Oreochromis niloticus: one gene and its partner. The main gene of each other region encodes a partner of the protein of the gene in region 2 in a complex. Links are inferred from orthologs where the notes say so. Each region holds a gene or a part of one and is shown on either strand. Other genes may lie near its edges. The genes, in order: nppc and npr3.

What was found.
Region 1: the proteins of npr3 (region 2) and nppc are in contact, whole or in part, in a crystal structure (PDB 1JDP), measured with the Homo sapiens proteins. The link is inferred for Oreochromis niloticus from reciprocal best matches to the Homo sapiens genes NPR3 and NPPC. Residues at the interface, in NP_001191304.1 of Homo sapiens: Asn110, Tyr138, Ala141, Pro142, Arg145, Ala161, Gly163, Phe164, His166, Glu170, Tyr171, Tyr204, Lys208, Leu209, Arg211, Tyr214, Phe215, Leu217, Glu218, His221, Glu222, Gln225, Ile233; in NP_077720.1 of Homo sapiens: Gly109, Cys110, Phe111, Gly112, Leu113, Lys114, Leu115, Asp116, Arg117, Ile118, Gly119, Ser120, Met121, Ser122, Gly123, Leu124, Gly125, Cys126.

What each region holds. Positions count from the first base shown.
Region 1 is NC_031980.2:34,351,567-34,367,807, reverse strand, and holds nppc (C-type natriuretic peptide), read right to left. Parts: upstream 8,380-16,241; 5' UTR 7,961-8,379; coding exon 7,868-7,960; intron 6,771-7,867; coding exon 6,498-6,770; 3' UTR 6,473-6,497; intron 5,407-6,472; 3' UTR 4,841-5,406; downstream 1-4,840.
Region 2 is NC_031977.2:299,918-316,147, forward strand, and holds the start of npr3 (atrial natriuretic peptide receptor 3), read right to left. Parts: upstream 7,181-16,230; 5' UTR 5,747-7,180; coding exon 5,086-5,746; intron 1-5,085. UniProt on the Homo sapiens protein: Receptor for the natriuretic peptide hormones, binding with similar affinities atrial natriuretic peptide NPPA/ANP, brain natriuretic peptide NPPB/BNP, and C-type natriuretic peptide NPPC/CNP.

The DNA of each region.
Region 1 (16,241 bases), on a different chromosome or scaffold from region 2:
CTATTCTCGTCTCACTATATCACTAAATACATGACAAAAATACTAGGCAGCACTGTCAAATCTACCGTGTTTAACCTTTAAAGTCAATGTTATGACAGTCTGTATTTAACATGAACATGTATTATTTACATTGTTATTATATCATTATTATTATTATCATGGTTTTGTTTTTAATATACGTATAGTTATAGATGTTTACAGTTAAAATGTTAAAGAAAACTATTTTCGGCAATTTCCCGGACTTAACGCTACATAAACCATATACAGCTTATTGTCACATATACCATACAGCTGTTTACATGGCCACGTGGTTCGGCACGGTTGCCAAACTATCAACCACGTGTAGTCCACCACGAGGTACACGCTACACAGTGAACAGTGATAGTTCCCAACTAGTATAGTATAGTATAATCTAAATACTTCAAAGTGGGGGTATACATAGTAGTTCAGTCCAGTTTTAGTACATGTATTTCATGTAACTGTATACATTTAAATAAAACTTAAAAATAAAAAAACCCCTCTATGCAGGGGTTTTCCATGCTCAGAGTTTGCCTTTGCATGGATGACTACACACAGGAAGGATGTAAGCAATAGGTGTTTGTTGCCTTTTTGGTAGATTTAAAATGATAATAATAATAATATTTAGGCTTTTTTTTCTGCAGTGAATGAACCTCTTTTTAATCGCCATTAAGTTACCACTTTTACATTGTAGATAATTTTAAATGTAAATATTCATACATTGTTTTTCTGTTGCACAATTGAATCCTGGAGCCAGCCGGCTGATTCCCAGGGCAACATGAAGAGCACGTTTGAGTAATTAACCCTCAACACCACACAGAGGCAGCATTGCATTTAACATCACTCGGTCTTACAGACTAGTCTCAGTGAATTACAGCTACCTTTGATTTGAGAAAGATAATGTAACTTTATTGGTCCCTTCTTCTTTGTAATAATAATGATAATAATGAAAATAATGATAATCTAACCATTCTCTCGAACTTCAATATCTTTTGTAGTCAGAAAGCTCACAGAGTAGCCATTGTTCTACCTGTCTACCTGTACAAAATGTTGCATTCTGTCCAACTTTTCCCCCTTTTCTTAGTCTTGCTGTGACATTCTGGACTTGTGATCACAACTGTAGTTGACTGTTATTACAGTCGTCCCACTGTTGGTGGTTTTAAAGCATATCAGTATAACTGAAAAAACTGTTTTTGTGTAAAAAACAAAACAAAAAAACAACAACAACAAAAGAAAAAGAGCTACTGAAATTGCCATATTGAGTTAACAAAGGTACATACAACTACACAGCAGTGTCTATGCTGAATTTGCAGAATGAACAGGTATGCCTCTTTGCAAAAACCCTCCTGTCACTCTGACTCTTGTCCAATTATTCACTGCTGTCTTTCAGCAACAATCATATGACCCCCTATGAGCAAGCGCTTTGGCAACAGTGGGAAGGAAAAACTAGCTTTTATCAGGAAGAAACCCCCAGTAGAACAATGCTCAAGGAGGGGCACCAATCTGCTGCGACCGGTTGAAGGTAAATGGATGAAGACAGGACAAAGACATGATGTGGAAAAGAGCCAGAGATTAATGATAATTGAATACAAAGATGTGTTTAAACACAGTGAGTGAAAAAGGTGACTGAAGAAGAAACATTCAGTGCATCATGGGAATCCCCCAGGAGCCTACACCTATTGCAGCATAACTAAGGGAGGATTCAGGGTCACCTGATTCACCTGATATGCTTTATCAAATGGAAAGTTTTAAGCCTAATCTTAAAAGTAGAGATAGTGTCTGTCTTCCAAATCCAAATTGGAAGCTGAAGAAGGGCCTGAAAGCTGAAGGCTCTGCCTCCCATTCTACCTTTAAATACTCTAGGAACAACAAGTAAACCAGCAGTCTGAGAGCGAAGAGCCCTAATGGGGTGATATGGTACTAAAAGAATACAAAATCACAAAGGAAAGATGCACAGAATTTCCCATTGTCTTTACAGCCCTTTCATTTTATTTCTTAGTAATGTTTTCCATGAAGGGGTATCCCTGGCTCCCTATGTTCAGGAAATGGGAAGATTCAATCCCTCTGCATCAATGCCACTTCATTAGTTATGTCTTTCCACTACAAGGTTGGACCGGAGCCCTTTTTGCTTTTAATTGTTCATGATATAGATTCAACAAGGTGCTGGAAACACTCTTCAGAGATTTTGGTCCATATTGACACGATAGCGTCACACAGTTGTTGCAGTTTGTCAGCATCACATCCATGATGTGAATTTTCCAATCCATCACATCCCAAATGTGTTCTACTGGGCTGAGATTTGGTGAATGCACAGGCTTTCTCAATACAATGAACTCATGTTGAGAAAAACAGATTTGGGTGATTTGAGCTTTGTGACTCGTTATCCTCTTAGAAGCATTCTTCAGAAGATGGTCATAAAGGGATGCACATGGTCAGCAACAATACACAGGTGGACACAAGGGGCCCAAAGTGTGCCAAGAAAATATCCCTCTCACCAGTGCATCAAGCTGAATCACTGATACAAAGTAGGATGGATGCATGCTTGCATGCCAGATTTTGATCCTACCATCCAAATGATGACCGATCAGACCAGTTTACATTTTTTCAGTCTGCCATTGTCCATTTTTGTTGAGCCTGTGTGAACTATAGCCTCAGTTTCCTGTTCTTACCTGACAAGAGTGGCAGCTTTTGCGGTCTTCTGCTGCTGTGGCACATCTTCTTCAAGGTTCAACATGTTGTGCATGCTCTTCTGCATACCTTAGTTGTAACAAATGTTTATTGGAGGTACTGTTGCCTTCCTGTCAGCTCAAAACAGTCTCCAATTCTGCCTTGATCCTTTGTAATCAAGAAGACATTTTCATCTAGAGAACTGCTGCTCACTGGATGTTTTTTTTTTTTAGAAACTTCTCTATAAACCCTAGAAATGGTTTTGTGGGATAACCCCAGCCGATCAACAGCCTCAGGGCCTGTTTTGTATGTGTGTGTGTTTAAAGTTGTGTTACTATGAATTTGACCATCCTACAGTCAATAATATAGGTTCACAAAAAAGAGACAAGCACATCTAATTTATAATTACAAATGTGTTTTCACAGTACACGTGCACTCTCGGTTTGCTTCTGTCAGTTGTACTTCTCTCCAGTTTGCAAATCGGTATCAACCTCAAAGTCAGCACACATTCACAACACTCACACCGTAAATATCATGTTTCATGGTATTAGAAAGGAAATCCTTGAAAAGACTTTTACATTGACTTTACTGTATTAATTAGCTTGTAAAGTGTTCTCTCTGTATTTTTCTGGCTCTCACCCCCTTTTGTGTAATTACACCATGAAATCTTTGAGCAATGGACCTTTTTAGAGTTTCACAACTGAGCACGATTTGTTATCTTTTTTATGCTTCTTTATTATAATCTGGGTGTGTTTGTTTTCCTTTTTAATATCGCGCGTATATGGCCTTTTCTCTATATGCTTGTCTTGTTTTAAGCCTTTTAGTTTGGAAACTACGAGATAAAAAAGCCATTTTGCTTATATATCATCTTTATATAATGTTAAAGTATGTTATTCCTGCAACAGTTTGGCTGTCTGTGCAGGATGTACCCTACGGTACATCCTGCGATCGTGGCTCAAGAGTTGGGAGTTCGCCTTGTAATCGGAAGGTTGCCGGTTCGAGCCCCAGCTTGGACAGTCTCGGTCGTTGTGTCCTTGGGCAAGACACTTCACCCGTTGCCTACTGGTGGTGGTCAGAGGGCCCGGTGGCGCCAGTGTCCGGCAGCCTCGCCTCTGTCAGTGCGCCCCAGGGTGGCTGTGGCTACAACGTAGCTTGCCATCACCAGTGTGTGAATGTGTGCGTGAATGGGTGAATGACTGGATATGTAAAGCGCTTTGGGGTCCTTAGGGACTAGTAAGGTGCTATATAAATACAGGCCATTTACCATTTACCATTTACTCCCCCCTCCCCATGATGAATTGGAGAAGCATAAGAGAATGGATGGATGGATAATTTTAAGGTGAATTTACTGCTTATTTTAAATAATATCGCTCTTAAATTTACCAACTGGTAACTGGATGTAATGTGCAACAGAATTAGAGGAACATTAGGAGGAAGTGGCTTTCTATCATCTTTTTAATTAGTGGTTTGGGATTACAGTGTTATTGCCTGAATTCTAAAGATCGCTTTAAGTCAAAATGTAAATTTTCAGTGTTTTCTTCTATTTGTGCAGCAAATTTGTGCAAGAGCTTTCAACAGTGTGGGTAGATCATGCTAGGTTGAATGCAGCAGTATAGATGCAGCACTCAACAAATCCTTATTGTTTCATATAAACATTTTATCTGATAACACAGAGTTTCAGATATTTGCTAATGTTTGAAACACTTTTTCAAAATCCAAGCAGCATAAAATCTTTAGTAAATGTTAAACTCTGGCTCTCTGTACCAAAGTGTGCCTTTTGTAACATCAACCCAACCGGCTACAGCAGATGGCTGCCCCTCCCTGAGCCTGGTTCTGGAGGTTTCTTCCTATTAAAAGTGAGTTTTTTCTTCCCACCATCAACAAGAGGGGGTCGAATGATTGCTTGGTTTTTCTTTTCTTTCTAATATTGTAGGGTCTTTACAACATAAACCGCTTCGAGGTCACTGTTTCTTGTGAATTGGCGCCATAGAAATGAAACTGAATTGAACTGAATAAAAATGAATGGCGCTCCATCTAACAGCAGGGCAGTCGTTGTTTCTCTTCTGACAAAACCTCCAGAAGCCAGGCAGAAAATGCTCACCAACTAGAATTGACTAGTTTCACGGAACACACAAAGACACCGAGATCAAAGATGTAAGTGCACATGGAATGTCCGTTTTATCGTTTTTGAAAACATTTACAACTATTTGAGACAAATGGGAAAAAAAAGGCAACAAACAGAATTGACCTACAGTTTGCATCCATTTCCAAAATGTTACATAAATAAAATTCATATTTATAAATATCTCTTTTTTTTATAAACATATAAATAGATTTTAAACATAAATACATTTATGCAGGGAAAGATGAAGTACATGAATGTACAGCAGCAGCAGCAGCAACAATATACAGCTTTGCGGTATGTAGTTTTTACACCATTGTCCGCCATGTTGTACTACGCATCTGTGTTTGTATCTGTTGACCATGTTGTATGGTATACATATATGTACTGTATATATGTATATATACCTGCATATTTATTGTATATATATATATAGATCTATATTAGGATTTTGTAGTATTGTCATCCAAGTCTTTGTTTATGCTGGTCATGGTGACTTTCGTACCAAAGAACAATCATGATGAGTTTTTCTATATTTTCCCCTTCTGGTAAGAACAAACTCAACTTTTGTCATCCAAACAAACACATCGTCCAGAGATCTAGAAAAAGAGAGGAAAACAAAAGCAAAAGGTTAGTCTTTCAAGGTCAGCCTAATGAACACATGTTCATTTATTCGCTCTTTTCTTAACGTAATACGTGTATCAGTCAGGGAATCTCCAAATTTACTTGTTGGTTCTTTACTCATTAACTCACTTCTCATCTAACCACTTTACTTCAGATTAACTCACCCGTATGGTGTTAACCAATGAAAAACACACTCACCCATTGTTAGTCACTAACACTCCCCCATACGGATTTCAGAGTTTACCATAAAATCGAAAAAAGGTGTGAAGCCTCAGGACTAATCGTGTGTCACTTAGATTCCCCAATCCTTAATTAACCCACACAGCCCCCTTTTCAGTTTATGTTAAAAACACTTAGTGAAACAAATGCGTTTCCAAGAAAGATCTTGACAACCAAATATGTGCGTGAATGTGTCTCTGCAACCCCACTTCCGTCCTCGATATCTCCCTGCCCTTTTTCTTAAATGTGATATATTGTTCTTGTGTTATAGAAGCAGATGGGATCATTCATGATGATGTGCACAGATACAAGAGTGGACTTCCTAAATGCTCACTGGTTTCTTTCCCATACATCAGCTTAAGTGGGCTATCCACTTAAACTATCCTAAGACTATCCTGTCCTAGGAGGTAATGCTACAAGGTTAAGGCTTGATTATTTCCCTAGATTGAATATTTCTATGTCAAAGGCAGTTAGTGAACCACAATATTTTCCATGTAGCTGAACCATGCAATGCTGCATAAATACATGTGTCTTAGGTATATGACAGATAATCCTGTAAAATCATCCTTTTAACGTGAGGAATACCAACATGAAATTATAATAAATAAAATATTAAAAAATAAATTATTATGCCCATTTTATTAACCAGGCCATTCTTTTTTTAAATCCCTGATTGTAATTCGTCTCCGTCTTGTCTTTCAGCATTTATTCTTTCATTTCATTTCACCCTGTTCATTCTGGGCTCTGTTTACATGTCACTGTTTGTGGCTGCAGTTAGTGTTGCATAATGTTAAAGTGGGACTGATATGAGCGACCACTCACCATTCATTGCAGCGCTGCTCCAGCCCTAGCATCCCATGCCGCTGATGGTGCCTATCCTGTCCATCTTGTGTCCGAAGCAGCCACTCCGTGACGAGGAGCCAGCCTTCTTGCTTCCCGATTTGTGTTTCCTGTTTGGGGGTTGATCGTTGAGGAGACGAGCCAACATGCCTCTGGGCCGGGTGTCCACCCGTAAATCGCGCAGTAAGCGTATCCGAGTGCGCACAGCGTCGAGCCGTCTCTCCCTCTCCTCCGACTCCAGAAACTCCGCCAGCTCCTCGCCCAGCAAACTTCTAAGAGACTGAAAGATAAGAAAATAAATAAACAATCTCTCCCTCAGGCAAATAAATTGTGCAAAGACAAATGCTTTTGATGAAAGTGAAATCTATGGTTTGTGCCCGTTTCAGCAGAGCAGTCATTATATGCTAAATGTTTGAGGTAAACCTCAGCTTGGCATATATTCTAACGCTTTCACAAACGTAATGGCCAGGGGGGAAAACGCGTTGGCATTTTTCTCACAGCACGGCACTCAAAAATTCATTAACTTGTATCATCTAACCAAAAACAACTTTGGGAAAGATCCACGAGACGCTCCAGTCATGAGGTTCAAACCTCGAAGGAAACCCCTGAAGAAGGGAACATCCCGAGAGGGTGCAGTACTTCTGTTTTATTAAGTTACCTACTCTGACACCTCGCTCTCAAAGTGAAGAAAAAAATAAACAAACTTAAAACAGGTGCGTGTAGCTTACTTATCTGTTCGTAAAGTAGACTGTAACGAAGACCTCCAACATTCCCAAATTTTAGTGAGTTTAGCAAATAATTACAACATTATTTCAAACGAGTATTTTTTAAAGGGTCAGCTTTATTCATTCGGGCCAATTCTATGCGTAATTGCGATTTTACGCACAATTTTGTTTTGGTTTGGTGAATCTTATTTTGACAACAATTAATAAATACATAAAATTCCAAAAATGATGTTGATAGTCAGTATAATCGCTTTTCAGAGTTATTGTAAAGCAAGAATTTTAATGTTTTCCCCATATGTGGTTTCATTTAAAAAATCGCATTGGGGCGATTTAAAGTCTAAAAATATCAAAGGGATGCTCGGAAACAAACTTTCACCGGCTGTTTCGGTTGCATGTCACTGAACATGCCGTCTGTTTGTAAATAAAGTGCAAGTGGACAGGGGTGTTACACTCCGAGTGTGGAAAAAGACAGATTTTCCCCAACAGCTTAACAAGAACCAAATTGTGAAATATGATGCGCAAAGCTACTGTCCTGGAGGACCTGTGCCACAGATCAGCTGCTTATTCAGTATTCAGCTTCCAGCAGCTTTAGTCCAAACCAATCAAAAGGTTCTCCTAGTCAGTAATAACAATACAAGTGACTTTTTCTTACCTTCTGCTGCGCTTGAGTTAAAGGTTTTGCCCCCATCCTCACTGAAAGTAAGGTGACCATAAGTCCACATGCTACAAAGTATGACAAGTTCATTTTGACAAGTCTAGCAGTTGTTCGGGGATTCCTCTGCGCTGCAGTTCAGATCGAAGGACGTTAGCTTCAGCCAATCAGCTTCTAAACACAAGGAGAGTCCGTTTTTTACTCCAAAGCTCCTCAAGTGCTTCTCTAACTCTGTGTATTAATCCTCGCCGCTTTATAGCCAGCCCATGGTGATGTCATGAAAACCTGCGTAATGGTTCTCCTTCCTCGCCTATTCACTGTTTTTTGTACCTGCCTCTAAGCACGTCACGCCAGGGATTAATTAAATGATACAAGCTCCGGTCATCGCGGTGTTAGAGAAAATGATATAGGCTATAAGCTATCAAAAGGCACAGACTTTAAGCTTTTAGACCTCTGGCTGAGATGCAACAGCTGAAACCAAAGGTGGTTTCAAAGGCTGCGCGTCAAGAGCTGAAGAGCGACTTTGGCAGTGAAATGAATTCTAGGATGCCAACCGCCTGTCCTGCGGAACATCTTAAAAAGACATACAATATGCTGCGCGTGGATGACATATCCTGTTTTCTTTAACGAAGCGAAAATTCAGAGTCTGCTACTGGAATTAAAGGAATTAGGTCATTTTTTAGATACCTTCCAGAAATTCAAATGTGATTTTCTTCATCTAATCACTTTTTTGGAAGGCACCAAGCGGAATTTTACCAGAAATAATGTGATGTGTTACTGCGCCACTCAAGCCCCGCGTTTTTCATTTATTTATTTAAAGGGTAAAACTTTATTATTATTATTATTATTATTATTATTATTATTATTATTATTGTTATTATTATTATTATTATTATTATTATTATACAGAAGAATGCAAACATACAGAGATGGAATTATTAAACAACCCAGTTTAAGTCATCTGCTCGACGTTATTTACATCAGAGCATGACATCAGCTAAGGGGGATTCACACCGAAAAAACTTCAGACGGTTCATGCTGATTCATAAAAAAACAGAGACACTCATTATAAGTCATGTCATGTGTCTGGATGTAAATGGCAGTTCCCCATAAACCTTTTAATTAGATGGTTTTGTGTTTCATGGGTATCTTACAGTTTGTTTTCTGTCTTTAGATCAGGTAGCCCACTTACAGAGAAGAATCTCAGAACTACTGTGGCTACTCCGACACACACTGGATGTGTGGAGCTGTTTAGACAGTCACCTCCAACACAGAAAGGAGGCTGACTGTTCAGTAGCATAACTGTACAGTGTCCAAGCACCATACAGAAGCACAGACATGAACCCTAAGCAATGATTACCACACCAGTGTCCAGCCATAATTTATGGTGTTATACTGTTCTTGAATCAAAGTTGGCATGTCACTAAGAAAAGCTGCTGCTTTCTTAAATTTTAGCCTGTGAGTCTGCAGAGTGCAGTCAATATGCAGGATATTAAACCAGCGATACTTCTATAAACCAGGAGGAGGGTGACTCTGCACAAATGAGTGAAACTGTACAGAAGTCTATATGTCTATACTTACTTTAGGCTTAAGAATTGGCATTAGCCGCTGACTTCAACCAATGAGTGACGATGGGTTTTCATACAGACTATGTTACTTTACCACAAGTCCAGAGAAGAACAGTTGAATGGGTGTCGGTATAAAATCTGGTGTAAGAAAAAGCCTTTATGACTCGTAGCCTTTCAACCCCTCTTACTGGTTTAGAGAATGCCAATCAACAAAGAGCACTCTCAAGCTATATTCTTCTATACATCATATCAATAAATGAATGCTTTTTCATGTTTAAAGTGTTACAAGTAAGTCTTACCGGAAAAAATTACTGTAGCACTAAAATGTATAAAAAATCTAGCTTTAATCTGCAGCTGGGGATTATTTTTTTTTAACATATAAATGAATGTAGTTGTATTTAAGCAATTTGCACCAGGTTTGTCTACTTTTGGCAGAAAACCAGAGTTTTTAATTTAGTGTCCAGCACTGCTGCACCTGTTTTATGTCAACCAGTAATGACTGGTTAGCCAGAACTGAATAAAGGAGCTGGCTATAGGGGCTGGGAATACGGTGGAAACACCTTGGAAGTGTCCAAGAAAAGTTTCTGATGCTCAGGATTTTAAAAAAAGGAACTCTGTGAGAGAGTGACCCTTCTGTAGAAGTGTGACACATGCATGAGTTGCTTCACTGTCAGGGTTGAGAGAGTAGTTCCATGTTAAATCTAAAAGTTTGACCATACGTGTTTTAAACAGTGTAAACCAAGAAAGTTCAACTATAAAGAAGCGTTTTTTGGTACTGCCTGACATTGATGTATAGTTGCCTAACACTCGTAAGCTCACCCACGGTTGGTTACATATGCCGCTTGACCTGCTTTAAGATATGCATAGAACTGTCACTATTAATTTGTGATATGCAGTTAAAATGATGATGATCTAAAAATGTTTTAAAATAAGTTGCAATCAATCACTATACAACTTAAACGGCATGTTGTCAAGGGAAGTTTAAGCTGAAAAGTCACCCCACTGGGAATAATTTACCTATTTAAAGAATATGCGCACATTTTGAGACAATACCAAAACCCTTGTGAAAAAAAAAATATACTTTTTGCAGTGTGGAGTGTTTCTGGAGTAGTCGAGGCCCCACATAGTGGAGCAGAAAGCTCAGGCAGCACCATCTGTTTTGGAACACAGAGTGGCAGTATTTGCTATGCCGAAAAGCGAATACCCCTCAAAGTCACATGTTAGTGGATCAATACTATACTGTAAAACTAAGTCATTAATCAGCAGATCGTCAGGATTTGAAAGTCCTATAAAGGCTTTTTAGAGCAGGTTTGGCATATGGAAAGTGTATACCTGCATTTTTTTGCAGAACATATATCATATTTATTGTAGCAGTGCTGGCCTACCTGCCATAAAATGTCAATCAGAACGTGTGTTGAATTTGCATTGAATCAAGCAGCAAAAATGATGTTTGGATGGCAGCCAGCAGCAGTGTCATTATTAGGTGTCCATGTTTCAGCCTTTGCTGAATACTCTGCTTTCTTTTTGGTTGCACACCATAAAAAATGATCGTTAATAATAATAATCACTTATGGTGTATATTAAAGATTATGACTATGAAGGCTTAATAAAATACTGTGTGTATAATTAGACAACGTTACTTTGATAAAGCATATAAAGTAAATGGTTTTGCCCTATAAACTCATAAAACAGAGACATTGATAAACTGAACAGATGAACAAGATGACTGGCCAGTGATATATGATGTTATAACAGAGCAACATGCATCCAGACTTTGCTTCTCTTCAAAGACAGGACAAAGCATTACAATGTCAATTTTCCTTCAATCTAACAAACTTACTACACTCATCACTGTCACTACATGCAGAAGTTCTCTTAATTGCTTGAAATGAAAGTAATGGACTTGTTTTGGCTATATAAAGCTATAAAAAGAAAAATATAATGAAAGTTTTTATAGCACTCTGAAGTCGGAGCAGTGCAAAAAAATAAATAAAAATTAAAAAACAAGAGCTAAATATCGGACTTTGCAGACTTCAAGTTCACGATAGTACAATTAGAAAAAGAGTAGAAACAAGTTTGGAAGAGCTGATGGGAGAAAACTTCTGTCTAAAAAGCACATGCCAGCACAGCTTAGGTTTGCAAAGTTGCATCTGAACAAACCACAAGACTTCAGGAACAATGTCTTTTGGACAGATGAGACCAGAGTGCAGATGTCTGACCATAATGCACAGCATCACACTTGGCAGCACACAGCATATCAACACAAAAACCTTATACCAACTGTCAAGCATGGTGGTGAAGGGGTGATGATTTGGGCTTGTTTTGCAGCCACAGGAGTTGGGCACCTTGGAGTCATTAGAGTTGAACTCCTCTGTATACCAAAGTGTTCTAATCCAAAGTGATGCCATCTGTTTGACAGCTAAGGCTTGGGCCAAATTAGGGTTTGGAACAGGACAATGATCCCAAGCACAGCAGCAAATCTATAACAGAATGGCTCAAAAAGAAAGGAATCAGGTTGAGGTTTGGACTTTGCCATGGTCAAAATCCAGACCTCAACCTGATTGAGATGCTGCAGCGAGACCTTAAGAGACCTGTGCATAAATGAATCCCAAAAAACCTAAACGAACTAATGTAATGTTGTAAGAGCTAGACAAAAACACTTCCACAAAAATGTAAAAGGCTGATAAAGACATACAGAAAACTTCTGTTCCTTAAGTTATTGTTACTGAAGGCGGTTCTACAAGTTATTAAAATTACAGGGTGTTCTTAGTTTTGCGATAACTTTATTTTTCACAGAAAAAAAATCATAACACAAATGATCCAATACAAATATATGGATAAATGACTCATGAGTTTAATCTAATGTACTGTGCTCGAGGGTGATCTGACTGTGATATTTTCACTGATTCCCTGGTAAGGTTTTCTTTAAAGTCATCTTCAATTTTAACCAAAACCTCCTGTGCTGACATTATATTTACTTTCTGAAATGACAGTAATAAAATCTGCCGGAGTAAGGTAAGCTGTGGTGATGATAAATAGCTCTTAATTTTGCCTCAATCAGCCCAACTTGGCCCTACCTCTCTCCAGCACTGGATCCCCACAGGGCTGTGTTCTCAGCCCACTACTGAACGCCCTGCACACCTGTGACTCCAAAAATTTAATTTAATTTATTTATTTAGGACAGTGCATGTTAATGAACATAAATGTAAAAAAAATTACATGAATGTAAAAATACCAGATTATAGCCAAGGGCTAATTTCCATCTGTTGTCCTTAAACATAAAAACATAGACATAATAATTCATAAAAATTCATCATTCATTCATAATAAAAACTCCATCACCAAACTTACACATACACACCATTCTGTTCCCAAATAAAACATTAGAATTATACAACTTATACATAAACAAAATAACCTGAAGCTGAACATCCTTAAAACAAAAGCGCCCATAATGGACTTCAGGAGGTACACATTAGTCCACTCCCCTCTTATTATAAACAGAGAACGGATGGGATCTGTCTCCACCTTCAGGTTTCTGGGCACCCACCTCTCCGCCGATCTCGCCTAGGCCCACAACACCAGCGCCCTGGTAAAGAAGGTCCAGCAGCGGCTGCACTTCCTCTGTCCTGAGGAAGAATAACCCAGACCAGAAGCTGCTGATAGCCTTCTACTGCTCCTCAGTGGAAAGTGTGCTCACCTACTGCCTGGGTATTTGGTAGGCAGGGCCCACACCTGAGAACAGGAAGGCTGTGTAGAGGGTTATTAACACCACCCCTGAAGGCCACTGCCAGGTCCTCCTGTATCAGGAAAACCTGTGCCATCACAGGTCACCCCTTGCACCCTGCCCACAACCTGTTTTACTGCTGGTCCATGTTGAATTAAATAAGTTAGTAAGAGTAACAGGAAAAAATGTAGATGAAATTTGTCGTCAAAACATTTGTACTCATGTAGTCCCAAAACAAACTAAAAGATTTGAAGGTTGTTCCTTTCTTATAAAAAAAATGTTGAAATAAAGTAGGCTTTTTAAATCATCAACAGGATGTACTTTTCTGACATGAGTCACACTGTTACATCTGAACTTTTATTACTAGTTTTTTTTTGTTTTAGTTTTTTTCACAGTGTTGATGGCATTTATATTGAAGCATGTTACTCTTTAGTGCAAAAAATAATTTAAGCTGAAACTAATCAACACACGTGCATCACATCACATTGCATATGTGATAGCATACTTATATGCGAGTGGTGCTTCAATAAAAATATGTTTTTAGCAGCTACTGCTGCTAAAAAGGCCATTCACACTCCAAGGTAACTGCAGTAAAGATGTTCAATTGCATGGAAAACCATTTTACTAATCCGCTTTTACAACAGCAATACAGAGCAGCTGAACTCTGCTGACCTTGTGTCCATGATGACATCTTTGGGTTTCGCAAAACATTTTTCACTGATTGCTAATCCCTTTATTTTGAATTTTAACAAGTGAATGACACATTCTTTCTTCATGTCGCAAGTGTTGTGTCACAAGTTTGCCTTTTTTTGTACAGTTTAACAATGTTACACACTTTTCCCAATGACATCACACGGGTTACTGAGAGCACCTATTTTGCTATGTCCTTTTGTACTTCCCCCTTTTTCTCCCTGCCTTTCCCGCAAACTCTTATCCGCTCAATTTTCAGTAAATTTTTAAGCTTTGATGTGGCTGAATGAAAATGAAGCAGCCTAACTTACTTGCACCAGGAAGCTATGCAAACGTATGGAGAGACCATGTGTTGCAGTAGCCTTTGCACTGAGTGTCTATGGGAGGGTTGAGTGTCTTGATTCCTCCTCTGGGTTTGTGTAAGACAAACTACAAGGCTGTTATGGTCCTATAAATAACGGTTTTATTGCGTGTGGAATTTTAATGCTTTTTACACAAGTGCTCTGAAGCCTTTTGCATGTGCCAACAAACACGCTTGCCTTTATTGGCAACACAGAGCTACTTGACTAATGTACACAAAATGCGTAAGATGACTGTGTAAACACACGTTTTGGAATGAACTCGTTTTTCAGGAGGTAGGGTCTCCTGTCTCCTGGCTTGATGTTTTTTGATATTATAGGGGTATGTAATAATTTCAGAAATGTTAACACTTGTTTTACTGTGGAACACACTCACTAGTGCATCATCATAAATACCTGAATACTGTGAAAAAGTACATTTTTGTACTTCAGTACAAGTAAATCAGAAATCCAGTTTCTCAAATGATTAGAGTAAAAATGTACATCTGTAATGATCAAAAGTGTGTTAATTTATATACTCAAAACTATATTACTAATATGCAAAATACTCCATCAGTGCGGCGAGGCATGCAGGTGATCAGGTTGCTTTCTTAGCCTTCAGTTTGTCTGTATTTTTTAGGTCAGGTATTTATTGTCTTCTTCTTGACAGTCTGTGGGGTTTGGGTCGCATGGATTGGCTGGCTGGTCAGTCATAGTAGTAGCATGATCAGCCAAGCATTTGGTAGTATTGGCACTGTGGGCAGGTGATGATTTCTGCTGGAAAAGGAAGTCAGCATCTCCATTAAAGCTTGTCAGCAGATGGAAGCATGAAGTACTCCTAGATGACAGCTGACCAACCTCCACCTTCACCGGCAGATGACATGGCATCCAAATCATCATAGCCTGAAGACCTTATAGCACGTAACGACACTATCCCGGTAGAGAATCTGAGTAAAAGGGCTTTACTTTTGAAAAGTACAGTGGAAGGTGGTGATATCAGCTGTTAGACCTCTGTGCTTTGGAACCAACTCCCAGTTTGGGTTCAGCCGACAGAGCCACACTGTACTTTAAGCTTGAAACTCTTTTGTTTGATAAAACTTATATTTGCGGCTGGATCAGGTGAATTTGCTGCATGGAATATTTTTTTAGTCCTGATATTTTTGTGGAAAACTTATAACCTAAATAAAAATGTAAAAATGCACCCTTAGCAGTCACATCACATGCAACATTATATGTCCCAACTAAAAGCAAACTTTTTGTAAGCTAATGCAGGTGTCACAGCATGTGAGATGAGTTTTCCTGAGAATGGTGGAAGCCCTCCATCATATTGTGTAATGCTGTTCATGCATGAAGCCAAACACAAGGCATAAAGAAACCACAAGTGGAATACAGTCATATGAACAATAGAGTTTTATTGCCTATTCCAAAGCATGCACTTGTGCTTTTACTTTATTGCAATTCCATAACCAAAATATACTGATGAGTTTTGAGCAGACATTGAGGTGACTAAAAGGGGAAAAAATTTCAGTCACTTCAGATTCAGATTTAGCATCTCATGATATCACAGGGGAGCCACTGTGGCATTATAATTTAGATTTTCGCTCAATTCCAAGCATTCCAAAGAGACACAGGTCAAGTTCCTTGTGAAGGTTTAAATGCAGAAATAGTGCAGCTCTTGTAACAGAATGACGCTGCCAGCCATTTGGCCTACTATTCGTATATTTAAGTTGTGTGCCAAAAATACTGTGTGTAATTTTTTGCTCTCATGGCATATTGCCTCAGTCAGAAAAACATTCCAATCTGGAGGCAAGAAGACAGAACATATGAAAATGCTCTTAGGTCAAAAGCTATTCTTACCCAGATTTTTGTTTTCTGGACCACAAAAGATGGTGTCTGGCTTTTAATTTACTGGGTTTGTGTTTAGTCGTTGAAAAGTCTGTAAATGGACAAGCACAAATTGCTAACATGGCCAGATACTGAGCCAATGATTTCAGCGTGGAAAGATGTAAATGCTCATGGCATCGTGTTATAAGTGGCTACAATCATAATTC
Region 2 (16,230 bases):
TTGCAAACTACACAAAAGGCAGCCGCTAAAGCGTTTAAGTTTCAAAATAGAACAAACAAAACAGACTAAATTGTCAATTCCACTTAGAAACAAAATATTAATTCTAAAAATAAATCTTAGGTCGTTTTATAGAAGAACAGACAAAATTGACTAACTTTTGTCAATATCAAATAAACTGAGAACTAAAAGGAAATTCTCAATCTCTCCTTGTTGTATAGCTTAGCTTTTCAAACAGTTTTAACAGTTACTTTAGTCTGACAAAAGCCGAATGACGAATTAGCGCTTTCAGTCAGAGATTGAGCATGCACCGCTTTATTGTATACCTTCACACTACGGAACTTCTGTGGCCCTTCCGTTTGACAATCTCTCCAGAATTGGAACCATCATCTGTTTTTTCTTCGGTAACCTTCGCTCACGCTCTCGGTTCATTTTTCTCTAGTCGGCAAACTCATTTCCTTCATTACCCGGGCTGCACGGCTGCAAAAACAAATACACATGTGCGCCTTGGCGCTTGTGCTGTATGTAACAAGTCACGTGATGTGACACTGCGGCTGTGATTGGTTCGGCTCTGCGCTACTTAATTTTGATTGGCCGTTCTTTTTTCTTTTTTTTTAAGAGGACAAGAGAGATGAGGCCTATCGCAATAGTTACATTTTTCTATCGAGAAAAAGTTATTTCGCAATACATATCGTTATCGTTCTATCACCCAGCTCTATATGAGGTCTTTAAGATATCACTGACCTGATCATTCAGGACTTGACACTGGATGGAGAAGGATTTTAAATTTAATTCGAGACTCAGTAAGTCAGTAAAGAGAAGCTCATATGGGCGAAATATGAGCTCTCGTTTTAGTTCCTGTTAGTATTCTCCCTGCTCTGTTATTATAAAACGGCAACCTATACTACATTATTATTATTAAGGAGTTCCTATTACTGAATGATCCTCTCATTGATTGTCATTGACTTCACTCTTAGAGTCACCACTAAGCAGCATATTAATGACATGACATTTGTGCACATGGGTGGCTGTAGCTAAGGTGGTAGAGCAGATCAGCTACTGATTGGAAGGTTGGTGGTTCGATTCCTGGCTCCTCCAGTCTGCATGCCAAATATCCTTGGGCAAGATACTAACCCCAAATTGTCCTCCGATGCGTCCATCGGAGTGTGAATGTGTGTGAATGCTTATTAGTTGCACTTGAGTTTAGAAGTGCTTGTGTGATTGGGTGAATGAGGCATGTTGTATAGAGCGCTTTGAGTACTCCGGGAGAGTCGAAAAGTGCTATATAAGAATCAGTCCATTTACCATTGGATGCAATGTGGTCAAATGTCTGTGTTTGTTGTATCTCCCCTGTCAGTTGTGATCAGTGCTGGGGTCGTCATGTGTTACACACATTACACAACACTGTTCTTAAAAGTAATCCAGTGTGTTACTTAATTACTACCAGGAGAAAATAATTCATTATGCTACTTGTTATATTAGTGTTGCATTTCGCCATGAGATGACCTGAAACACATTTAAACCCAAGTCTCCAGTCCCACACAAAGCCCTGTCCTAATATGATCTTTCTCTCAGTATTTAGGTATGAACGAACACAAAGATGAAAACACAAAGCAAAGATGAAAACCAGAACAAACTTTATCACCACAGTGACTCTACCTTAGAAACATGAACAGGTAGAAACAGAGGCTGCAGTCCAACTGCTTACCTGTTTGTTACCTGTTGAAGTTCAGGCTCTGGCTGCTAGGGTCAGCATTCGCCCACTCTAACATCACTTTGGGTTTATGGCTAGCTTAGCATTAGCATGCCATCTGTGTAGATGGATGCAGCTTGCACTTTAACGTTGCGCTCTCATCATTTTATGTAGTAAAAGTAATGTCCATATCCATGCTGTAGACTGCAACACGCAGACTGAAATCAGCTGATTGTAGCTTGAGTGCATGTCACACTGATAAGCAGACTAACTATTCACCCGAACTGAACTACTGTGACTCAGCTCTCTGCAAAACTGAGTCCCATCCCTACTGTTTATGCAAGATATTTGGACATTATTTCTGTTTTAGCAGTAATAACTTGCTATTAACCACAGACGTCATTATTTCCTTATTGCTGATCAAGCATCTCTGTGCTGTCAGATGAAAGCAACACCATACAGCACACAAAAAATAACTAATAATATGTAATTATTATCAAGTTGACCTGTTCATGTTGGTGCCAGGACACCACTCTGGATTGTTTGGGCCCTTCCAGCCGTGGTGATATTTCCCAGTACAATAGTTGCTTTGCAGGCTGTAACGCTGTGCTGTCTCTGAGTGACGGGCCAACAACACCATTTATAAAATCATGTTGGCAGTTGTTTTACACTCAATTAGTTGTTCATCTTGAACAAGTTGTGTAATATGCAACAGTCCATACAGTGTTGCACTTTATGATTAGAGTATGTTTGTGGGCATTTCTGGTCTTCTGGACTCTTCATACAGAGTTTTGTGTAAAAGCTGATCATGTCCTACAAACGTGACATCATAACAGATGAGAGAAGCAACTGAGTGCCAGAGGGGAAAAAAGCTGAGAGCTGTCACAGCATCATCAGACGTGATGCCTCTCACTGGAAGCTAGTTAGGAAAGTAAAGATTTACATTTCTTAGAAAAACCTGCTGTGTTCACATTGGTTATTGATATTTTTGTGTAGCCGTATATGAAACATGGAGGAGGGTTCAGCTCTGCCCACTGCTCGGTTGTTGAATCCCATAAAATATCTCAAACTAATTTCTTGCTATCAAGTGCACTTAGTCTCTCGTCACCATTTAAAGTTTATCACAGGCAACTTTTTAGGACACCGGCACAGCCGCTACTCTGATACGGTGCCACTTCCTCAGGGGCTGTCATGACCACAGCAGCGGTGCCAACAAGCTGCTAATCAGTGTTTTAGCCTCGCGCTTTAAGCACATACCACATGTTCAAATGTGTTGAGTGAGTCCCTGGCTGGATTGCTGGGTGGCCCTGTGATTTGCTGCATGTCATTACCATGCTTTATTTACCAACAGTAATCCCACTGGTTTAAATGGTCTTGGCTTCTTTACTTTCAAGTGGAGTTTTGATTTTAATGGCTCCATGCAAAAACACCTCTGGACACGCTCGCAGAGAAGAAGCTGTGTGACATAGTGATGAGCACTGAAACAGAGCAATCATGTAGACGTGACAGCATACATGATGCTGGTTGGCTGCTGTGGTTCCAGGTGAGTTGGAAATGTTCCTGGAGAGAAGGAGTCCAGATTGTCAAGTGAGAAGCAACAAAACCTTTAGACACGAGATGATGAACCATGCAGACAGCATGCAGGATGTTATGTAAGTCTGTCTAAGCAATGGAGGCAGTGGGTGGGGTGAGGCCAAACAAATACACACATGCCTATCACCAGTGATAGCTTGTGCTACACGAGGGATGTTTGCTTGGGTCTGAAGAGGAACGGGCTGAAAAATCACTGCTTTTTAAAGTATTTATTAATGTTTTCAGAGCTGTGAGGAATCACTGCAGAAGCAGCAGAGTTATATCTGACAGGGTTTCTCTCAGTTACAGGACGGCTTCCTTCTGTATTCATCTTAATTTTCTAAAAACACCAGAGGTTTTTAAAAATCTGGGATTATAATTGGATTCATTATTATAGATGTTAAATTATATTATCTACTGTAGATAGTGCCATGCAAAAGTATTCGACCTCTTTCTGATTCCTTAGTTTTTTGCATATTTATCACACATGATTCAGATGAAACAAATTTTAATAAGATAACATGATTGGTTTTTAATAATGGTTTCACTGTAAGATTAAACATATCAGATTTGAGTGTGGACTTTGAATAGGCCACTAAAAAACCTGTTTTTTAAAAACTATTCAGAGGAAGACACTCTGTGTGTCCTGCTGCAGAACATGAGTGAGCAAACTGACATTGTCCTAGAATTCATGGTTCCACTAATTATATCCAGATCCTGAAGCAGCAAAGCAACCCCCGACCATCACACCACCACCACCATGTTGAACTGTTGGTGTGATGTTCCTGTTATGAAATGCTGTCTTAGTTTTACATCAGCAGCGATGTCCATAGACCATTTCCCCCCAAATAATCAAACATCGTGTTTTGGCCCATGTGAGATGAGCCGGCGTTTCTCCTGGAAATCGCCCATCGATGCCGCTTCGCCGTCTCTTTCTTATTGTTGAATCACAGGCTTTGACATTAAAGGGGTGTGGCTAAGGAAATTAAACCCAGCTCTCCAAAAATGATGTGGTTAATCACGTGACTCATGATTTAACAAATGGGGGCAATTACTCTTTTTTTTCACAGGACCAGGTGGGTTATTTAAATCATCATGTAAAAACTGCATTTTAAATTTGTCTAATATTAAATTTGTTTGATGATCTGAAACATGAAAGTTTGAGAAATGTGCAAAAAAAGTGAAAATGCTTTTTCACTCTGCCTTTTGTTATGTGAATCGTGTGGTAAGAGAACAGGACAGAATAGGGAATAAGAGGAAACATCTCTCACAGCTTCAGGTTGCTTATTGTGTCTGATAAAACATTTAGTTGATTCAATGAACTGTCAGTTAATCCCTGTGCCTGAACAGATTGTGCTGGTTTTGGTAATAATGCCATTTATTGCGTGTACTGAAAGGCTGTGGAGGAGAAGATTACAAGACTGACCTAATTCAGACTGCTGAAGCTGAAACTTGGATAGTTGTTAATGTACAGACTGTGAATTTGTGTGACAGTGCAGGTATATACTTGTACTTACATTTTCTGGCAGTGCCTAATTTAGCCCATTATGATTGTTTAATTACCTGAAATCTGCTTTAGTGGAGGACTATGAAGTGCATGTACAAACTGATATGTCAGATAAATACAGGGTTGTGAAGGGCACATCAGTGTAGGGCTCATTTGTTTCATCAACTGAAACAGAACACAAACAATATGTAGTCTACACCAAGCTATGAATGATGGTTAGCTGTCAGCCAAATCCAGTGACCTAAAGTCAAGACTTATTTCAGACACCGTCTAATTAAGGGAGACGCTTTAAAGTGACTAAGGAAAGCTGCTTTACCTCCCATGTCATTGATGCTTCGCAGGAGCTCGTCCGTGTCCAGGGGTTTGTCTTCAGTTAACACATAGCTTTCGATGTTATAGTTACTCATCAGATGGTATACTCCTTCTAACGTGAAGTAACAGTTCCGCTGCTCCCGGTCGTCCTCGAAGACCAGCAGAGCGCTCTTCCAGGTGAAGTGTTCAAACATCGCCGTGAAAGTCTCTGCCATTTTCACGTAGGACGGGGCGATGCGAGTCAGGTGGGAGTATTCTTTGTTCTTGTTCGCGAAACCCGTGGCGAGGGCACCTGCCGAGATCACCGGGATGTTCCAGTGGGACGCCAGCCTTACCACTGCCGCAGCCTCGTACTCGCACACAGGACCCAGGATCAGGTCGGGCTTCTGTCCGCAAGACCTGTCCGCTAATGTGAAGAAAGCATCATAGAGGCAGTCGGAGTTTTCAAACTGGATGTTGAAGTTGAACCCAGAGTACTGACCCCCGTCCGCCTTCAGTCTCTTTTGTGCGTAATGGATCGCTGGTGCGACTCGTTCATATGAAAAAAGATAAGAATTATTTTGTGGCAAAAATACCAAAACATCTATGTCCTCGGTGATGGTGTTTGTCATAACTGGGCTCAGGGCTACCAAGAAATAGACACATAGTGTTCTCAAATGTGGCATGGTAGCACTTCCTCTTCAAGACAGACAGCAAAAGACTTTTAGAGAAATATTCTTCCAATGTTCCTTCCCTCAAGTTGGCTCTCGGCAGCGCACATAGAGCTGCAAACAGAAAGCCCTCTGTCGTTAGTAAATGCCTTAATAGTAAATAACTGTATTTGTCTTTGGGAGAAGCCAATCTGCCAGAATGGGTGTGTTTTATTCTGCATTTAGAGTCGCTTCCCAAGCTTCTGAACCTGTTCAAACTATTTTCTCAACAGTTGATCGTGCCAGGCTCGGAAATTCTTCCAGCTCAGTCAACAGCCATCATACACGCTGGCTCCGGCCTGGAGTTTAGAAGCATCTTTTCAGGATTATTCATGCGTCATCGGAGCGCTGCCCACCTCCTTCTTAAAGCTACACCGCTCCCGAGCGCACAATGAGCCACTTCAACGTAGCACGACTTAATGCGCTCCAGTTAATGCAGATGACGGCTCTTTATTTCTTGTTGATCAAGCTCTAACCATCTGTAACACAGCTATAGATCATTTATTTAGACAGGGTCAAACTGCAGGTGTGCATGGACTCTGCAGTAACCAAGATTTCTGTACAGACATTTTCAGCATTAGTAGCAAATAAGTCGAAAGACTGGTGGAAAAATGTGACCAAAAATTAAAATTTTGATGTTGATGGTATACAAACGATTTAAATGAAGCCCTAAGTTCTTTATTTTTTAAATGTTGGCAGTGAACTGGCAAAGAAATCATTTTAAGCTCAGCAGTGCATGCTTACACTGCTGACAAGCCTCTTGCAAAAACACTGTACACCATAAACAACAGTATAAACGACAAATTACAAGTCATGTCCGTGAGAAACAGGAAGAAACCCAGCAAAGATCTGACACAGGACCTGAGAGATGCATCTGACCCTCCAGTGGATCCATCTAATGTCACTGAGGCATCATCAGAAATGCTCCCAGTGAAAGCGTTGTTGTCAAGAAGCCATTCTTAAGGAAACAGGGAGGAAAGGCTGAGGTTTGCCAAATTACTCCAGAACAAGAAAAAACAAGAAAAGGACAAACATAAAGCAGAGATGTGTTTCTGTCAGAGGGGTTAATGTGTGGAATAGTTATGACAGTGATTTAAAAAAGGTGTACTTCATTTTCCTTGTTTAAAAACATGTTTAAAACTAGAGTTTCAAGAATGAAATGAGCAATAATAATAATACTGAAACTCTTGGTTGTTTTGCTTTGATTATTGTTATGAAATTTAATTTAATGTATTTACTTATCTAAGGTGGAAGGTTTTATGTTTTGTTTTTTGTTTGTTTGTTTTGCTCTTTTGCTTCAAGCCCTGTGTACACGAGCTGCACACTAAATGATCTTTTGTTTAAAGGCTTGGCGTAATACGCATGTGATTAGCTTTGTCTCATGCTTTCTTGCTTTGTGGTAGATCTTAATTCTGTATTCATTGAGATATTTGAATGCTAATCAAATAAAAATAAATGTTAAAAAATCACTGGAAGGCCGTATGGAGTGGAGAATCCAGATTAGCCTTTTTGGATCCAAATCGCCATCAGTATGTTCAGAGGAGCTCAGGATGGAGGTACCACAAGTGAGGGTCTACAGCACAGGTGTCGAATTCCAGGCCTCAAGGGCCAGTGTCCTGCAGGTTTTAGATGTATCCTTGATCCAACACAGCTGATTTAAATGGCTAAATGACCTCCTAAACATGTCTTGATGTTCTGCAGAGGCCTGGTAATAAACTAATAATTTGATTCAGGTGTGTTGGCCCAGGGTGAGATCTAAAACCTGCAGGACACCGGCCCTTGAGGCCTGGAGTTCGACACCCCTGGTCTACAGCATGGGTCCCCAATCCCAGTCCACGAGGGCCGGTGTCCCTGCAGGTTCTAGATGTGTCCTTGATCCAACACAGCTGATTTAAATGGATAAATGACCTCCTCAGCATGTCTTGAAGTTCTCCAGAGGCCTGGTAATGAACTAATCATGTGATTCAGGTGTGTTGACCCAGGGTGAGATCTAAAACCTGCAGGGACACCGGCCCTCGCGGACTGGGATTGGGGACCCCCTGGTCTACAGTCATCTTTGGAAAACAGTGGAGGCTCGGTCGTGGTTTGGGGCTGTGTTTCAAAGTCTCTGATTGGACAATGATCCCAAAGATGCTACCAATGCAGTAACTGCATACCAAGATAGAAAACACACAACACAACATTATCAGTAACAGACTGGCCTCCCCGGAGTCCAGATCTCAAAATCATTGAATAGGTGTGGGATCATCTTGATAGAAAAGCTTTGAACGTCCTTCAAGAAGCCTCGAAAACTATTCCTGAAGACTGCTTGGAGGAATTAAAAGAAAGCTGCCAGACAGATATCAGTCTGTGTTGAAGAATAACCGCAGCCGTGGTGAAGCCGTATGAAACAGATAAATTGTAAATAAAACAGTAGACAGATAGAACAAGTGTGTGCACAGTGATGGAGTTCACGGCCTGTACTAAGAACACAAACAGCAGAGAGATCCAAACGAACAGAGTGAGCGACTCCTGTGAATGAATAAACAAAGCAAACAAAAAAGCTTCAGCTCATAACCTCTGCACTTATCATGGCTCATTAACATGTGTCACTAATGACCCTCCTACTGACGCTGTCTAAAGACACCTTTTGTTTGCTGGCATTCAGACTGCAGTCTGCTGACGTTAGTGCTGATGTTTTCCACAGATTTTGTAACATTTAAAATCATTACATGGAAAATGATGTGGAAAGCATTTTACAGAATGTAAAGAATAATTCTGCACATCTTTATTTATTGTACAAATTACACCAATTAGACCACTGCCTAGAGAAATTATGAAATTATGGTCATTAGGCTCAGCTCAGCGCACATGTAATCTCATCTTTTACGTCTGGATTCATGTTTATTTTTGAGAAGGAAGTCTGAGCAGACATCCTGCTGAACCTGTAGGCTCAGCTGTGCCTCTGCTCTTTTTGTTGTTGATCATTTCTGACATCAGAATTATACAGATGCAGTACTGAGTGCATTGTGCATTGTGCAAGAAAACGGCCAATTTGATTTCCCAGGCTGTGCGTTGATAAGCATGACTGCACTGACTTCAAGAATATCCAACACCTTCAGGATGAACATGAAAATCAGTTGTGGCCAAGTCCTAACTGCCCACATTACCTAATGCTCCTGAAATTATTTCATGTGATACACATTCTAATTGTTTTATATGTTTTATGTTATATTTACTTTTGGTTACAGGCATAGAAATACAGTATATAGGTGAACTTTTTGCCAGTGATCCATTGCACAGTTACGCAGCCTGACCTCAGCTGTCTGCTTCATTAGTCTGGCCATAAATGTCTTTAAGGACACGATAAATAGATAAAGAGAAACTAAAGCTTGCTTTCCCGTGTTTTTCACACGCTGTCATAGCACTGATGTACTGAAGCAACAGTATCTAACACACAGAAGTGTGTGATTTTACTCCCCTCTGCTGGTCATTTCTTACACCTGGACACTGAAAATGCAGCCAATTTAAAGAAAGTGTCATGATCGGCTGTGTGGCAGGCAGGCAAGCAGCAGTGGTGGATCCAAAATGCAGGACTCAGACATGGAAGTACAACTTAAAGCGCAGCTTTATTGCTGGGAAAAACCTCTTACTTAACTAAACTCACCAAAAGACAAACAAAAACCCTGGAGGAATAAAACACGGGAACTGGAATACTAAACAGTAGTGATGGGTCCAGCAACACTGACGCACCGGCGCATGTATCAAGCTCACCTAGCGATGCCTGTATCGGTGCATGCGTCGCTTTAAGAAAAAGTCACGTGATCGATACAGCTGCTGTATCGCTCATTACCAACGTGCCAAGCTGTGTTTAAAAGGTACCGCATCCGCATCTGTCAACGGAACGAGTCGCCACCAAAACCCCCCCACAAATTGAGTCTCGCAAAGATAAATAAAAATACACATCTTTCCATAACAAAATGGAAATGTTTCTGCTGTGTGGGATCATTTTGATCTTTTAACTGCAAATAGTTTGTCTGTCTTTGTTTCAGTGTAATCTATCAGAATAGGAAAAACAGCAATGTGACCTGCAGTGTAAATTATTTATTTCATTTTATGCAGGTTAAATGTCGCATCTGTTCTGCAGAGCTTTCTTACAAACAAAAGCACCTCCTCAGTGTTACAGAGGCATTACAGAGCCAAACATGAAAATGAGGAGACAAACACACTGAGAATGAACACAGGTCGGCCTATATTGACACTGAACAGCTTTATCAACACTTTTCTTTTTTTTTATTAATATGTGTTTTATTATTTTGAAATCAAGCATCTAGGAAGACTGTTCTGGACCAGGCAGTCCTGAAGTTTATTATAAAGGACTGCCAACCCCTTAGTATTGTGGAGAGTGTCGGAGAGAAACATTCCAAGATTAGAGGATCCTTTAAGGTACTGGGGGAATAGGAAGACATCTTATCAGAACCTTTTCCACCTGACTTTACAGCTTTTGTGTACCCCAGCTTCATCTGTGGCTGTGAGTTTTCCAAAGCTGGGGAAATGGTGTGAAAACCCCCCGCAATAGACTGAATGCAAAAACATTGGATAAACTTATTTTTCTGAATAGAAATTTATAATAAACTCTGAATCAATTACATTTAAATGGGTAATATTATATTCACAATACTTTCATTTTAATTTTTACTTTATGTCATTCACAATATATTTTATAGATGTCTACAATATTTGCAATGTAAAACACATAAAATGATTCCATGGAAAGTACAATACCTTACAGTGTATACACGTATGACTATGTCATTGAATCAGTGTCTGTTGTGAGTCTCAAGTAAGTTCCCTGCAATGATATTTAAGGTCCAGCAGGTGTCAGTATGGAGCAAAACAGCAACACTGTGTCGACACAGTATTGATACAGTTTGGGGAATGTGCTGAAACGCTTCACGAGCCCTCATCTACCCATCACTACTAAACAGGAGCTGGAGACTAAACACTGGAAACACGGAGGCAAAACACACAGCTAGTGGAGGGTACGACACGACAGAGAGCACAGGAAAACACAGGGCTATATACACAGGGAAGTAATCAGGGAATGGGCAACAGGAGGGAGACACAGCTGGGAGAAATTGGACTAACAAGACAGGGGAGAGGTAAAATTGAACACACTGACATCACACAAGACCATGATCCTTCAAAGTAAAACAGGAAACAAAACATACTTTACTAAGACACGGACTAGACAGAGAGAGACAGACTAGACACTGACCAAAACCTACTAAATAATAATCATAATCAAAACAGTATCACTGATTAATCAGAACATAATCATAATCTAGAAAAACACCAAAACATGAGAAACAGAAAGCTGGGTCAAAATGACCCAGAACCGTGACAGAAAGTGATTTACTGTAACATTCAAATTCAGTGTTCAGAGATGCACTGCTTCACACTGTTGCCTCACAGAAGGGCTCTAGTTCAAGCCAGCCGGTTTTTCTGTATGGAGTTTCATATGTACTCGATGTGCCTGCGTTGGTTGCGGGTGTATTGTGGCAGAGAGAGAACTCCAAGGATCAGACAATCCCACTTGACAATGAAGGGTTGGAGGAATTCCTTTTTAAATGGGAAAGAGTAGCCAAAAGTAGACACGACATGCAGCACTGGCATATAAAGGCAATGGTACTGAAAGGAGGTTAGTGGGGGAAAAATGCTCAGTGCATCATGGGAAGTCTCCCACAGCCTGAGCCTCAGCCTCAAACTGCTGGGATATACACCTACAGCAGGGAGGATATAGTACCATCACAGTATGAGGCTACGTCCACACTAGCCCGAAAACGGCGTTTTCGTCGGAAAACGCTCCGCGTCCACACTGTCGTTTTCAGTCGTTTTCACAGAGTTGTGCGTCCACATTGAAACAGCCGAAAACGCTTACGTTTCAGTCCTGCGCATGTGTGAAACGCAAGAAGATTCGACCTGCCTCATTTCTGTCAGCCGTGTATTTACTTTCTGGCTCTCTGAAACATCGCGGCAAAATGTCGAGGAAAAGCACCGAGTTTTTGAAATGGACTAACAATGAGGTGGAGTTGTTGCTGCGAGTAACACAAAAGTACAAAGTTGCAAAAGCGAGTTAGAATTAAAGAATTTGAAGAAAAGCTATCTGGAGCATGTACAGAGTGATATTAATCTTTAATAGGGCTCAAACAAAACAATTGCTGTGTAATGCCCTCTGCTATCTTGGTTTAATTGGTCACATGACTGCATCACATGACTAACATGCGTCATTGTTTTAGAAAGTCTACGTTTTTGCTGTCCACACTGGGCCTGGAGAGTCCCTGCCTTGGAGCCAGCCACACCTGTGATAATCACTCACCTGTTGCTGATCTACCTAATCAAGGAGCTCTACTTAAGAGAGCAGTGGAGCAGCAGTCGGTGCGGGATTGTTAAACTAGAAATACAGTTAGTGCACAGCTTGTGGTTTCAATTACTCTCTTGTTGGAATGGTTAATGTGTTTAGTCGGCCGGTGGATGGGACGGTACTCATTGTGGCATCTCTTGTTTCCAATGTGATTACAGAAACGTGTGGAGGGAGCAGCACAATGTTGAACACAGGCACCGAGGAGGACGAAGCACTACCACGCATCACGGAGAGGAATCACGGCACGGGGAATTGGGAGAGCACACACTGTGGATTGTTGGCGCTGTTTTCTCTGTAAATAAACACACTTTCTCCATTCTAAAAGTCTGGCATTTGGGTTCTCCTTCAGCCAACCTTGACATGTGGTTTAATTTAGTTGTGTGGATGCCCTCAAAGGCATCCACACTATTGAGTTCCTGTTTCTCTTTAAACTTTATTCTTCAAGTTGCTCCCCCGTTTTTCGGCACTTAACTACTCCCTCAGTTTTCAGCCGATTTTCTCCGTTCAAACTCTAAACTGTTCTGCTCTTTCTGCTAATTCCAGCTATATCTTTTGGTGTTTATTACTATTATACTTTTTAAAAATTACACTTTTTTCCTTTAATTTGTCCCATTGAAATGAATGGAAAACTTCCACAATTCTGCTAAAACTTGCTTGGTTTTGAAACTTAACTACTTCCTCATACTTTCACCTAGAAACTCCATTCAAAATTTAAAATGTTCTCAAATTATTGGCCTATTCCTGTATAATTCAGCTTTTTCAGATCTTCTACCGTTTTAATCTTATCCCTCTTTAAGTTTTCAGTTGCAAAATTGTGATTTTTCAGAAAATACATGCGTTGCTATGGTTGCTATGCAATTAACTCAGAGTGTACACTCGTCCATTCTGAATTTTCTCTTCATGTTCCAACAACTTCTTGCTACTCACTCAATTTCCACTCAACCCCCACAAATTATACATCAAAACGTAGGTATTTTTGCTGGCTTTCAGGCAATGTCACTATCTTTATTGTGAGATTTACCGTTTTTTCGCAATTTGCCTCGAAGTGACACAAGGTCTGAAAACTCCCCATTCAAAGTCTATGGGGAGGTTTTAAAATTCAGAGCTGAAATTCTCTAATGAGAGGCATTTTCAAATCGTCATATCTCTTTAACAAAACAAAGTTAGGACATGAGGCTTGTGCCAATATATCTTCAGACACTGCTGACACTCACAGTGGAAGCAGTTTTTACAGTCATCTTACCGTTGAGCAATGAGTTACGTTTGTTTGAGGGGTGGAAATCTGTCCTTCTCTCAGTCTTCAAACTCTGGAAATGAAGCCGTTTCTTCTCTCGTCATATCTCCGCGACGGAGGTACAAAGAGCTATGAAAATCGCAGTCAAAATACACCAAAGTCCGCTGATTCACCCAGTACAAGAATTATGCTGCTAGCCCTCCTAGTTTTTGAGTTACACGACATTTTGTAACTCCAAAAAACGGCGTTTTTCACCTCTCACCGCGATCTAATTCTGACTCCTCAAGTCTCTGTGTTTTAGACACCCGCCCCCTTTGTGACCAGACCTCATTTGGCTCAGAGGGTTGAGCAGCTTCTGTGAGACCTGGTGGCAGAGGTTCGAGTCCTACCTGTGACAGTTGTTACACATCTTCCCTGCTTGCATGCACTCTCCTTTCTTGACACTCTTCAGTGTACCCTTACACATAAAGCCATCTCCATCAAGCGCGTCTACACCTCTTTTTTAGCAGATAATTCTGCTTTTTCAGTTGTTTTCAGCAACTGCTGGTCAAGTCTCTGTCTTTCAGCCACCCACCCCTTTTCCAGGTGGCGCAATCAGTAATGACACGGCTCTGCAGCTCAAAGGTCGTGGGTTCAATCCTACCTTGTTCAACATTTTGTTTTTCACTACAAATTTATACACTATCACAGACCTGTAATTTATTTTGCTAATTTATTACAATTCTGCAAAGTTTTATGATTTTAGCAGCTTTTCTAATATAGACCTAAGATTCTTGTTAACATGGCAGAAATACATACAAGTACACAGCCTGATGAAGCAGACAGAGGCAGTACCTCTGATTGGTGAATTTGAGCAGAACCAGGTTGTTCTGCCTCTTTTCAGCAGAAATTCTGCTCATTCACCTCTTTTCAGCGCAACGTTCTGCTTCTTTCCCTCTTTTCTGCAGAAATTCTGCTGAGTCACCTCTTTTCTGCAAAATTTTCAGCCTTTTCACCTCTTATCAGCACAATTCTCAGCAGCTTCTGCTAATTTCAGCAGAATAAGTAATGACATGGCTCTGCAGCTCAAAGGTCGTGGGTTCAATCCCACCTTAGTCAACATTTTTTTTTTCACTACAAATTTATACACTATCACAGACCTGTAATTTATATTGCTAATTTCTTTCACTACAAATGAGTAATGCAAAAACATACTATGTCTGCAACATCACAGTATATCTGTTATGTTATAGTATTACTACTTAATCACAGTATTTCTGCCAATTCAAGGAGGCTGACTGTTACTAAGTGCATCAGTGTACATAGGTCATCTGTTGTGTTGGAGTGCCCTCTTGTGGCGCCTTTTGGGTAGTGCCTTAGTAAACGTGAACACTGCAAAGAAGTGGTATCAGACTGGTTTGTAGTGGAGGAATTTGTTGCCAGTTTCTTTCATCTTTAATCCTTATTCATGTTGTGATGTAGTAGTACCACAATATGGCAGAAACACTATGTTTTGGCACAAATACTTTGATTTGGTATACTTTAGCTTCTTCACCCCTTTTCAGCAAAATTTTGATTTTTTTCACCCCTTTTCAGCACAAATTCCAGCTTTTTTGGCTGGTTTCAGAAAAAAAAACTCTTTTCAGCAGAAACTCTGCTGATTCATCTCTTTTCAGCCCAAGTTTCTGCTTCTTTACTTCTTTTCTGCAGAAATTCTGCTGATTCACCTCTTTTCTGAAAAATTTTCAGCCTTTTCACCTCTTATCAGCACAATTCTCAGCAGCTTCTGCTAATTTCAGCAGAATTGTCCGTCTCTCCACCTCTTCTTTGTAAGAATGACTTTGGCTCAGGGAAATGAATAGCCGGCTTGGGACCAGGAGGGCCAGGTTCGAATCCTGCTCAGGGCGACATTTTTTTTTCACCACCATGCAACTTTTCATCTTTTTCAGCTTTTCAGCAGACAGTTTCAGCGTTAAGGCATCCACACAGCATTTTCGCAGGAAATGCAAATTTTTCTAGTTATTCTTCAGTTTCTGCCTGAAATTTTGCAGCGAAACTCGCCCCACAGTTTTGAGACAAGCTTCATATATGTTACCTCATTTTGTGCGGCTGGATCTGGAATGGTGTGCTATGACTTTTGGTGTTTATGCCTATTATAGTTTTTTAAATATTAATATTTTAGTGAAAATTTTCCCGCGCCTCTCTGCCGCACAGTTTTGACACAATTGTAACATATGTTAGATCATTTTGTGCGGCTGGAGCTGGACTTTTGGTGTTTATGACTTTTATAGTTTTTGAAATATTTTGATTTTAGTGCAAATTTGGGCCAATTTCTAGGCTCCTGAGAAAGATTCTACTTTTGGCCCCATAGAAACAGACTTCATTTGTGGTGTGTTGGCTCTCTCTAGTGGTATAGCCGGAGTAGTACAGGCGAAAAGATCTATGCTTGGACGAAAACTCCATATCCCACAATTTATAGCACGCCTCTGCAGAGTAAACAATGGCGGCCACCACTTCGTTTTATATGTCTTTTATTAGTGTTTCTAGGTCACAAAATCAACTTTTAAGATATTTTCAGGCGAGAATGTAGGTGTGTAAACTTCAAATATCTGCTTGTTTTATCAAGACATCCCATATTAGCGACAGTGCTCTGACGACGTCGGTCCTGCCTGACAGCTAGCCGGCTACCTAGCTAGCTGCCGCACTTGGCTGCAAATGGACAGCGAGGGGACTCTCTCTCTCGTTTCACCTCCCCGGTCTCTCGCAAATGCTCGCACAGAATCGGAGTTACAGCTGGATGTGGAAAAAATAACTGAGTTGTTTGGTGGTGCTATAACGCGGAGC